Linked DNA regions of Sus scrofa. The protein of the gene in region 1 interacts with the protein of each later gene in a pairwise test. Links are inferred from orthologs where the notes say so. Each region holds a gene or a part of one and is shown in the gene's direction. Other genes may lie near its edges.

The links.
Region 2: the proteins of SIPA1L2 (region 1) and AP3M1 interact in binary tests that used the Homo sapiens proteins (3 or more experiments, as listed by UniProt). The two-hybrid records come from large-scale screens. The link is inferred for Sus scrofa from reciprocal best matches to the Homo sapiens genes SIPA1L2 and AP3M1.

Annotation. Positions count from the first base shown.
Region 1 is NC_010456.5:58,115,548-58,119,840, forward strand, and holds the start of SIPA1L2 (signal-induced proliferation-associated 1-like protein 2), read left to right. Parts: upstream 1-1,358; 5' UTR 1,359-1,584; intron 1,585-1,609; exon of another isoform or gene 1,610-1,751; 5' UTR 1,752-1,858; intron 1,859-2,302; exon of another isoform or gene 2,303-2,322; intron 2,323-3,619; exon of another isoform or gene 3,620-3,637; intron 3,638-3,948; exon of another isoform or gene 3,949-4,207; intron 4,208-4,224; exon of another isoform or gene 4,225-4,293.
Region 2 is NC_010456.5:76,825,595-76,829,407, reverse strand, and holds part of AP3M1 (AP-3 complex subunit mu-1), read left to right. Parts: intron 1-1,891; 5' UTR 1,892-1,894; coding exon 1,895-2,167; intron 2,168-3,355; coding exon 3,356-3,527; intron 3,528-3,813. UniProt on the Homo sapiens protein: Part of the AP-3 complex, an adaptor-related complex which is not clathrin-associated. The complex is associated with the Golgi region as well as more peripheral structures.

The DNA of each region.
Region 1 (4,293 bases):
GCAATGCCAGATTTGAGCCGCATCTGCAACCTACACCACAGCTCATGGCAATGCTGGATCCTCAACCCACTTTGCAAGGCCAGGGATTGAACCTGAAACCTCATGGTTCCTAGTCGGATTTGTTTCCGCTGTGCCAAGACGGGAACTCTTGGTGTAGCACGGGTTTGATCACCACTGTCCAGCACTGGCCAGGCCAGGCCAAGCCAAGCCTCTGGGTCATGTTTGCTGGGGCCTAGAACATTCTGCAAGGCTGCATGTGCTCTGTGGTTCTGCACTGTCAATTATAAGCATTAAAAAAAAAAATGGTGCTAGAGTTCCTGTTGTGGCTCAGTGGTTAAAGAACCGACTAGTATCCTTGAGGATGCAGGTTCGATCCCTGGCCAGGCTCAGTGGGTTGAGGATCAGGCATTGCTGTGAGCTGTGGTGTAGGTCGCAGACGAGGCTTGGATCCCATGTTGCTGTGGCTATGGCGTAGGCTGGCAAGCTACAGCTCTGATTTGACCCCTAGGCTGGGAACCTCCGTATGCTGCAGGTATAGCCCCAAAATGACTATATATGTATATATATATGTGTGTGTGTGTGTGTGTGTGTGTGTGTGTATACATATATATATATATATATATATATATATATATATACACTGCCAACAATGGTTATGACCAAAGGGTTAAGGTTATTTTTAATTTTAGCTTACAAAACTAAAGACTTCCTTATCAGATCATTAAGACATTAAGAACACATTAAAACTCCCACTGTGTCTAGCAGGCAGTGGACAACTGCAGCTCCAGCTATAAAACCCACCTTGGTGACAACCCACAGGCTCAGGCAGTCACTGAGGGAGACACAGTTCTTTTCCTCAGGGCCCTTACAGAATAGTGGGAAAGACAATGACATGTGTAGCTGTGAGAAGTGTGAGAAGTACTGTGATCACGTGCTCTGCGGGGTGGGGGTGGGGCGGTGATGTCTGTCCTCCCTTGGCTTCCACAGGAAGGGTCCCTCCATGGCTATTCCTGTGTCCATAGGACATGGGAGAGCACCTGTCATGTATAGGGATGGGCACAGGTGAGATGGAGAGGTTGTGAAAAGTAGGGCCTATCTCTTATGCATCTCTGTCCCCAGCACCTAGCACCTTCTGGAACATACAGAGTCTCCATACATGTTTGCTGAATGAATAAACGACCATCTTGGTAAATGCTGTTAATGAAGTGGTGTTTGGGAAGCCCATCAAACCCGGGAGAACTCAGGAGGTTTGTCAGGTCATAGTACTGCTCTCTAACGTGTTTTATTACACACACTCCTATACTGCATGCTCATATTTACATAGAGATATAAAAGGCTGTAAAATGTTTACATACTTTTTAGACCACAGAGAAATAAGGCATGGGAGGGACTGCCTCTAACTTTTAAGAGGGTTACCCTAGGGAGTGTTTGTAATAGGGAAGTATAGACAACGTTATCTCTCCAGGAAGAATTCTGCCTCCAGAAAAGGAGGAACTGAAAACTCTGAATCTTGTTTCTGGAAACTGCCAGAGAAGTTCTCTCTCAGAAAAGCCGGCTCAGGAAATCCTGCGGTGGGGCTGGAAGGTAAGGTACAGTCTATGTAATCCAGTCTATTCCTGCTCCTGGGTTCTGACTCCCATGAAACCCTTTCGGTAGAGTTAACTCCAGTGTGGCTTAAAAAGGTCCTCTGAGATCTTTTAATCTTTCAGCAGCCAATTCAAGTGTCAAGCAATTTACATTCATCCTTTCAGGGAGAGCTTCCTCCTGGGTGATCAACATCTCCTAGGAAAGTGGAAAAGGTGGATATCAAGAGTTCATTTTCTCCTCGTCAAGATAAAGATCCAGGAGCATTTCTCCCGTGAGTGGAGGGCTGCCTGGAGGCCGGTTGGGGGGGCTGGGCGGGGAGGATAGAGCCTGCACACCTCTCCCAGCCTCCTTCCAGACTCCCAATGGTCTGTTTCCGCAGCATTCCTGCGCGCTGGCACCACCTGACTTCTTGCGCATTTCTCCGCGCATCCAGCCACTCCATCCCCTGGGGGTCAGGGGCACCGCCTGGGCGGTCCAAGGCGCCCTCGGGTGTCCGCACACAGTAGGGCTCGCTCCTCCTGCCGGCTTCCTGCGAACGCGGAGGTGCGGCGATCCTGCTGCGGCTCTGAGCAGGTGCCTGCGCAGCGCCTGGCAGCTGTGTTGTCGGGAGGCGACACTCAGGCTCTCGCGGCGCGGGGACCAAGAGCCAGCGGGCACGATTCTCCCCATTCGGGAGAGTGGAGTCCGGGAGGGGCCGCGGCTGCGCCAGGGGGCGGCGCGGAGCCAGGTTAGCGGGTGTGTATGATCGCTTTTCTCTCTGCCTCTTTGATCAGGTCTTTATTCAAAATGAGCTGACCAAAATGATTTGACCTTCAGAGGATAAACACATCTAAGTTTGCGCAGCAGGCTTCTTTTCTGTGGAGCCTTTCTTTTCCTCCGGCTTCCCAGCGGCTGGTTTCTTGGTAGCTGCTGCCTTTTTTTTTTTTTTTTTTTTTTTTTTTAACCCCCCACCAACGGCTGCTTCTGTTTCTTAAAGCCAACAGCCTTCCTTTCTCTCCTCTCTACCTTGCCTGGTACCTCTACTCATCTGATCTGGCTTCTGCCGCCGCTGCTGCCCTGGATGCACGGAGTTAGTTTGGTATTCTTAGCGTGGTGAAGAATGGTGCCCCGGGTGCATGATCTTTGAACGTGGGTTTAGTTAGATTGAACATGACTCTCAGGTTTTTCCAATGAATTCTTCTACAGGACCCTGACATGATTTCTCTTGCATGGTGCTCTGGGATTTTTCAAGATTATGCCCAGGTCTGTGTTGAGCTTGTGCACGGGAAGGTTGTAGTTACTCTTGAAGGAAGGAGGCAGCTTCTTCCAGAAGTGCTGCAGGAAGTGTCATTACAGATCATCTAACTTGCTGAAAGCAAATTCGAAACATCCCAGTTGTCCACCAGGAGCAAGTTTCATTGCTTACATTCGGCATAGTAATTCCTTTTGAAGGGAATGTAGAATTAAGGAGCCAGCGATGTTCCTTAAGGCCTTGATAGTGTGGTCCTGGTTACAGATCCCCTGCTGTGCATGCACCATGGCTTCTCACTTTGTCCTTGCCAGCTCTCTCATTCGCTCAGACGCAGAGACCTTTTTGATATTATTCCAGGCCTTAAGTTTCTTAAGAAGCAAAACAGTCCCCTTCGTCTTCTCAGTAGCCTTCAATGTTATCTACAACCACCAAAGGAAGTTCAGGACTTCCTCAATACACTGACCTTTAGCCATGACCAGCGCCCCTAAGGCCGAAGCAGCCAGGGCAGAGCAAATGGCACATCGTTTCTGTGTTGTGATCACTCTGCTGGGCCAACGGCGCCAGAATTGTTTGCGCAACGTGCGGCCCCACGACACATCTATTTCCCCAGTTAAGAAACGTATTTCTCAAATTTTAGGAATTAAAAGAAAGATTATGTCTTACTCAGTAAGAATTTTAGGCTACTGTAGCTGAAAATACAGTAAGACGCAAATGACGACATCACTGTTACAGATTCAGGGTTTTTAAGTTATCGGTGCCAGAGGGGCGAAAACGAGTCCCGAGGAGGAGGGCGACAGCTTTCCCAGACTGCGGGTCCAGGTAGGCTGCATCTCCCTGGAGGTCGCCGGCGCCGCTCACCCGGCGTCCCGCAGCCCCATCTGAAAGAAGAGCACCAACCCCTCCGGGACGCGCCGCTCCAGCGAGCCGCGGGGCCTGGGAACCGCGCACCGGCTGAGCCCGGAGCCCCGCGGGGCTGCGGGACAGACGGCGCCCGCGCCCAATCGCTGGGCGGGGCCGAGGGGGCGGGCAGGAAGCAGCCAATGGGAGGCCGCGGAGCGGGCGGGGGGCGGTGCCGCCGGGCGGGCGGGCGGTGGCGTTGGGAGCTGGCGCGGCAGACCAGGAGCCCGGGAGGAGCCGGCGGAGCGGGAGGAGGACAGAGGAGGAGGAGCAGCGCCGCGCCCCCGCCCCGGCCGCCCGCCCGCCGGATCACAGGCCGATCGCTTCAGCCGCAGCGGGCAGGTCCCGGCCGCCTCCCGCCGGAGCCCGGCGCCGGCAGGGTCCGGGCCGATGGGCAGCCCCGGGCAGCGGCGGGCGGCGAGGCGGCGGCCCCGGTACGCGCCGCCCCGCGCTCGCGGGCTGTAGCAGGTCCCTGCGGACTGCGTGTCCGAGGTGCGTGTCGGGGCGAGCGAAGGGAGGCGAGGCGGGTCCGCTTGGGAGCCTCCGGGTGGTGCCCAGGGGCCGTCCTGAAGTGTAGG
Region 2 (3,813 bases), about 19 Mb from region 1:
TGGAGCCCTAGGATGCAGGTTTGATCCCTAGCCCAGGTCAGTGGGTTAAGGATCTGGCATTAATGTAGTTGCAGCATAGGCCACAACTGCAGCTTAGATCTGATCCCTGGCCCCTTGGCATATGGAACTCCATATGCCAAGGGGCAGCCAAAAAGGGGGAAAAAAAATTTAATAAATAAAAATAGTGTATCAGAGAGCAGAGGTGATAATTAAAAGTCAGTCGGTTCTGGGAGTTCCTGCTGTGGCGCAGTGGGTTAAGGATTTGATCCCTGCCCAATACAACACAGTACCTTACATCAAGTTTTGAAATCAGGAAGTGCTAGTCTTCCAGTTTTGTTCTTCTTTTTCAAGATCAATTCGGTTGTTCTTGGTCTCTTTAATCTCCATAAAAATTTCAGGGTCAGCCTTTCAGTTTCCATTTTGAAAAGGCATCTGATATTCTAATAGAGATTGCAGTAAATCTGTAGGTCAATTTGGGGAGTATAGTCATCTTAGCATATTAAGTCTTCCAATCTATAAACATGAAATGTCTTTCCATTTTTTTTAGTTCTTTTTAATGTCTTTCAGTGATCTGTAGAATTCCATATACAGGTCTTAGATTTCTGTTAATTTAATCCTAAGTATTTTGATCTTCTTTTGGATGCTTTTGTAAGTAGAATTGTTTTCTCAGTTTCAGTATCAGAGTAGTTATTGCTAATATGTAGAAATATAATTGGTTTTTTATATTAGTCTTATATCAAGCAATCTTGATGAATGCACTTATTGCTCTCAGTAGTTTTTGTGTGGGAATTCCCATCATGGCTCAGTGGGTTATGAACCTGACTAGTATCCATGAGGACGTGCGTTCAATCCCTGGCCTTGCTCAGTGGGTCAAGGATCCGGCATTGCTGTGCGCTGTGCTGTAGGTCACAGATGTGGCTCAGATCCCATGTTGCTATAGCTATGGTGTAGGCTGGCAACTACAGCCCCAATTCAACCCCTAGCCTGGGAACTTCCATATGATGCAGGTGCAGACCTTAAGGAAAAAAAATGGTTTGTGTGTGTAAGTGTATTCCTTAGAATTTTCTGTATACAAGATAACATCATCTGCAAATAGAGATAGTTTTGCTTCTTGTCCAATTTGGAAGCCTTCTGTTTCATTTTCTTGCTTAATTATCCTGTCTAGACCCTACCATGTTCAGCATTTTCAAAGTGCTGAAAATGGACATTATTGTTTGTTCTTGATATTAAGGGGAAAGCTTTTGGTTGTTTCACAGAGGTTCTTTATCAGGTTGAGGAAATTTATCTTCCTAGTTTAAATGTTTTTGTCCTATAAAATTTATCAAATGATTTTTCTTGCACCTTTTTAAATAATTATATTTTTGTCTTTTATGAATACTGTGTATTATGTTGATTGAACTAACCTTGCATTCTTAAATAAATCATGTTACTTGATTGAGTTTGCTAGTATTTTGCTGAGGATTTTTGCGTTTATATTTTTAAGTGATATTTGTTTGTAGTTTCTTGTATTGCTTTTGTGTGTTTTTGTTTGTTTTTTCGAAACATTCTTTTATTTTATTTTTTTGTCTTTTTGCCTTTTCTAGGGCTGCTCTCATGGCATATGGAGGTTCCCAGGCCAGGGGTCGAATCGGAGCTGTAGCCACCGGCCTACACTACAGCCACAGCAACGCAGGATCTGAGCTGCGTCTGCAACCCACACCACAGCTCACCGCAACGCCAGATCCTTAACCCACTGAGCGAGGCCAGGGATCGAACCCACAACCTCATGGTTCCTATTCGGATCCGCCAACCACTGTGCCACGACGGGAACTTCTGTGTGGTTTTGCTATCAGGTTAATATAAGGATACTTTTTTTGATGTATACTAAATTTAAACTTTTTTTCCCTCCCAGAAAATGATCCACAGTCTATTTCTCATAAACTGTTCCGGTGACATATTTCTGGAGAAGCACTGGAAGAGCGTTGTGAGCCAGTCTGTCTGTGATTATTTCTTTGAAGCTCAAGAGAAAGCTGCTGATGTTGAAAATGTACCTCCTGTTATTTCAACACCTCACCACTACCTCATCAGTATATACCGGGATAAGCTCTTCTTTGTCTCTGTCATACAGACTGAAGTGCCACCTCTCTTTGTAATTGAGTTCCTACATCGAGTTGCTGACACTTTTCAGGTTGGTTATTCATCAAATCTTTTGAATTTAAATTATCCAAGTTTGATGAAGGTGGAACACGGTTATATTCTTTAATTACCCAGCTTTTGATGTGTAATCTCTCTGTCTCTCCCTGTTCTTTTCACCTAAGCTTAAGCTCATAAACATAAACCTTTTTTATAGGGTATACAGTAGTATACATAGCTTCTCAGTTAAAATTTTAGGAGAACAGAACAATCTCATAGTCATGGAAACTGTATTTTTTTAATGTATTATGGATTATGCCATCAGGAAATAATAGTGCCCTCCACGTACAGTTCTCTGAATGGTCCCAAGAATTTTTTTGGTTATGAAACCTTCCATTGCTTAACATTATTTTTTTTTCTTGGCCTCCTGAATATACCAATAATTGAAAACTTATCGGAGTTCCCGTCGTGGTGCAGTGGTTAACGAATCCGACTAGGAACCATGAGGTTGCGGGTTCGATCCCTGCCCTTGCTCAGTGGGTTAACGATCCGGCGTTGCTGTGAGCTGTGGTGTAGGTTGCAGATGCGGCTCGGACCCCGCGTTGCTGTGGCTGTGGCGTAGGCCAGTGGCTACAGCTCCGATTCAACCCCTAGCCTGGGAACCTCCATATGCCGCGGGAGTGGCCCAAGAAATAGCAACAACAACAACAACAAGACAAAAAAAAAAAAAAAAAAAGAAAACTTATCCATGTTTCTTGGAGTACATGATCAGGACAAATGAAGTTTATAGTTCACATTCTGTTTTAACATTTCAGTGTATTTTCTGACGTAATACTTAGTAGGAATCCAATTCAATCTAAAAACATTAAGGAGGAGTTCTTGCTGTGGTCAACAGGATCAGCGACATCTCTCAAGCACTGGCACACAGGTTCAGTCCCTGGCCCAGCACAGTGGGTTAAGGATCTGGTGTTGCTGCAGCATAGGTGACAACTGAGGCTCAGATCTGATCTCTGGTCCAGGAACTCCTAATGTCGTGGGGCAGCCAAAAACAATAGTAATAATAAGGAAATTTTGAAGAATAGTATATAGAACTCTAGAGGGTTTTTTCACCCTCTGTTTACATATTTTCGACATCTTAAACAATGATTTGTGCTACTTTAAGTTTACCCTTTAGAACACAGAAAGTATTTAGCAAGCCTTTCTTCATGTCTTCTATTGTGCAATATTATGTACCTTTTGTTAGGACTACTTTGGTGAGTGTTCAGAGGCTGCAATTAAGGATAATGTGGTCATAGTATATGAGCTCTTGGAAGAAATGCTAGACAATGGATTTCCACTGGCTACGGAGTCTAACATTTTGAAAGAATTGATTAAACCACCAACAATTCTACGTTCTGTTGTCAACTCTATTACAGGTAAGTGAAATGCACTCTAATAAGAACTGAGCAATTGAAACTTCATAAACATTCATTTTTGTTTATTTGATCTGGCAGATTCTTAAGGTAGTCCGTTTTGGCCGGATTTGAAGTTAGTGATAATGTTAAAATAGATGTATATTTCTTTTCATGAAAAGAGGCTTGATTTTAAATGATAAAGAACTTTTGCTTGTTACTCTTGTATTACAGGTTTTTCTGTAAGACTACAACAATATTATTACTATATTTAACACTAAATAGTAAGAATGACTAAATTATCCACTTA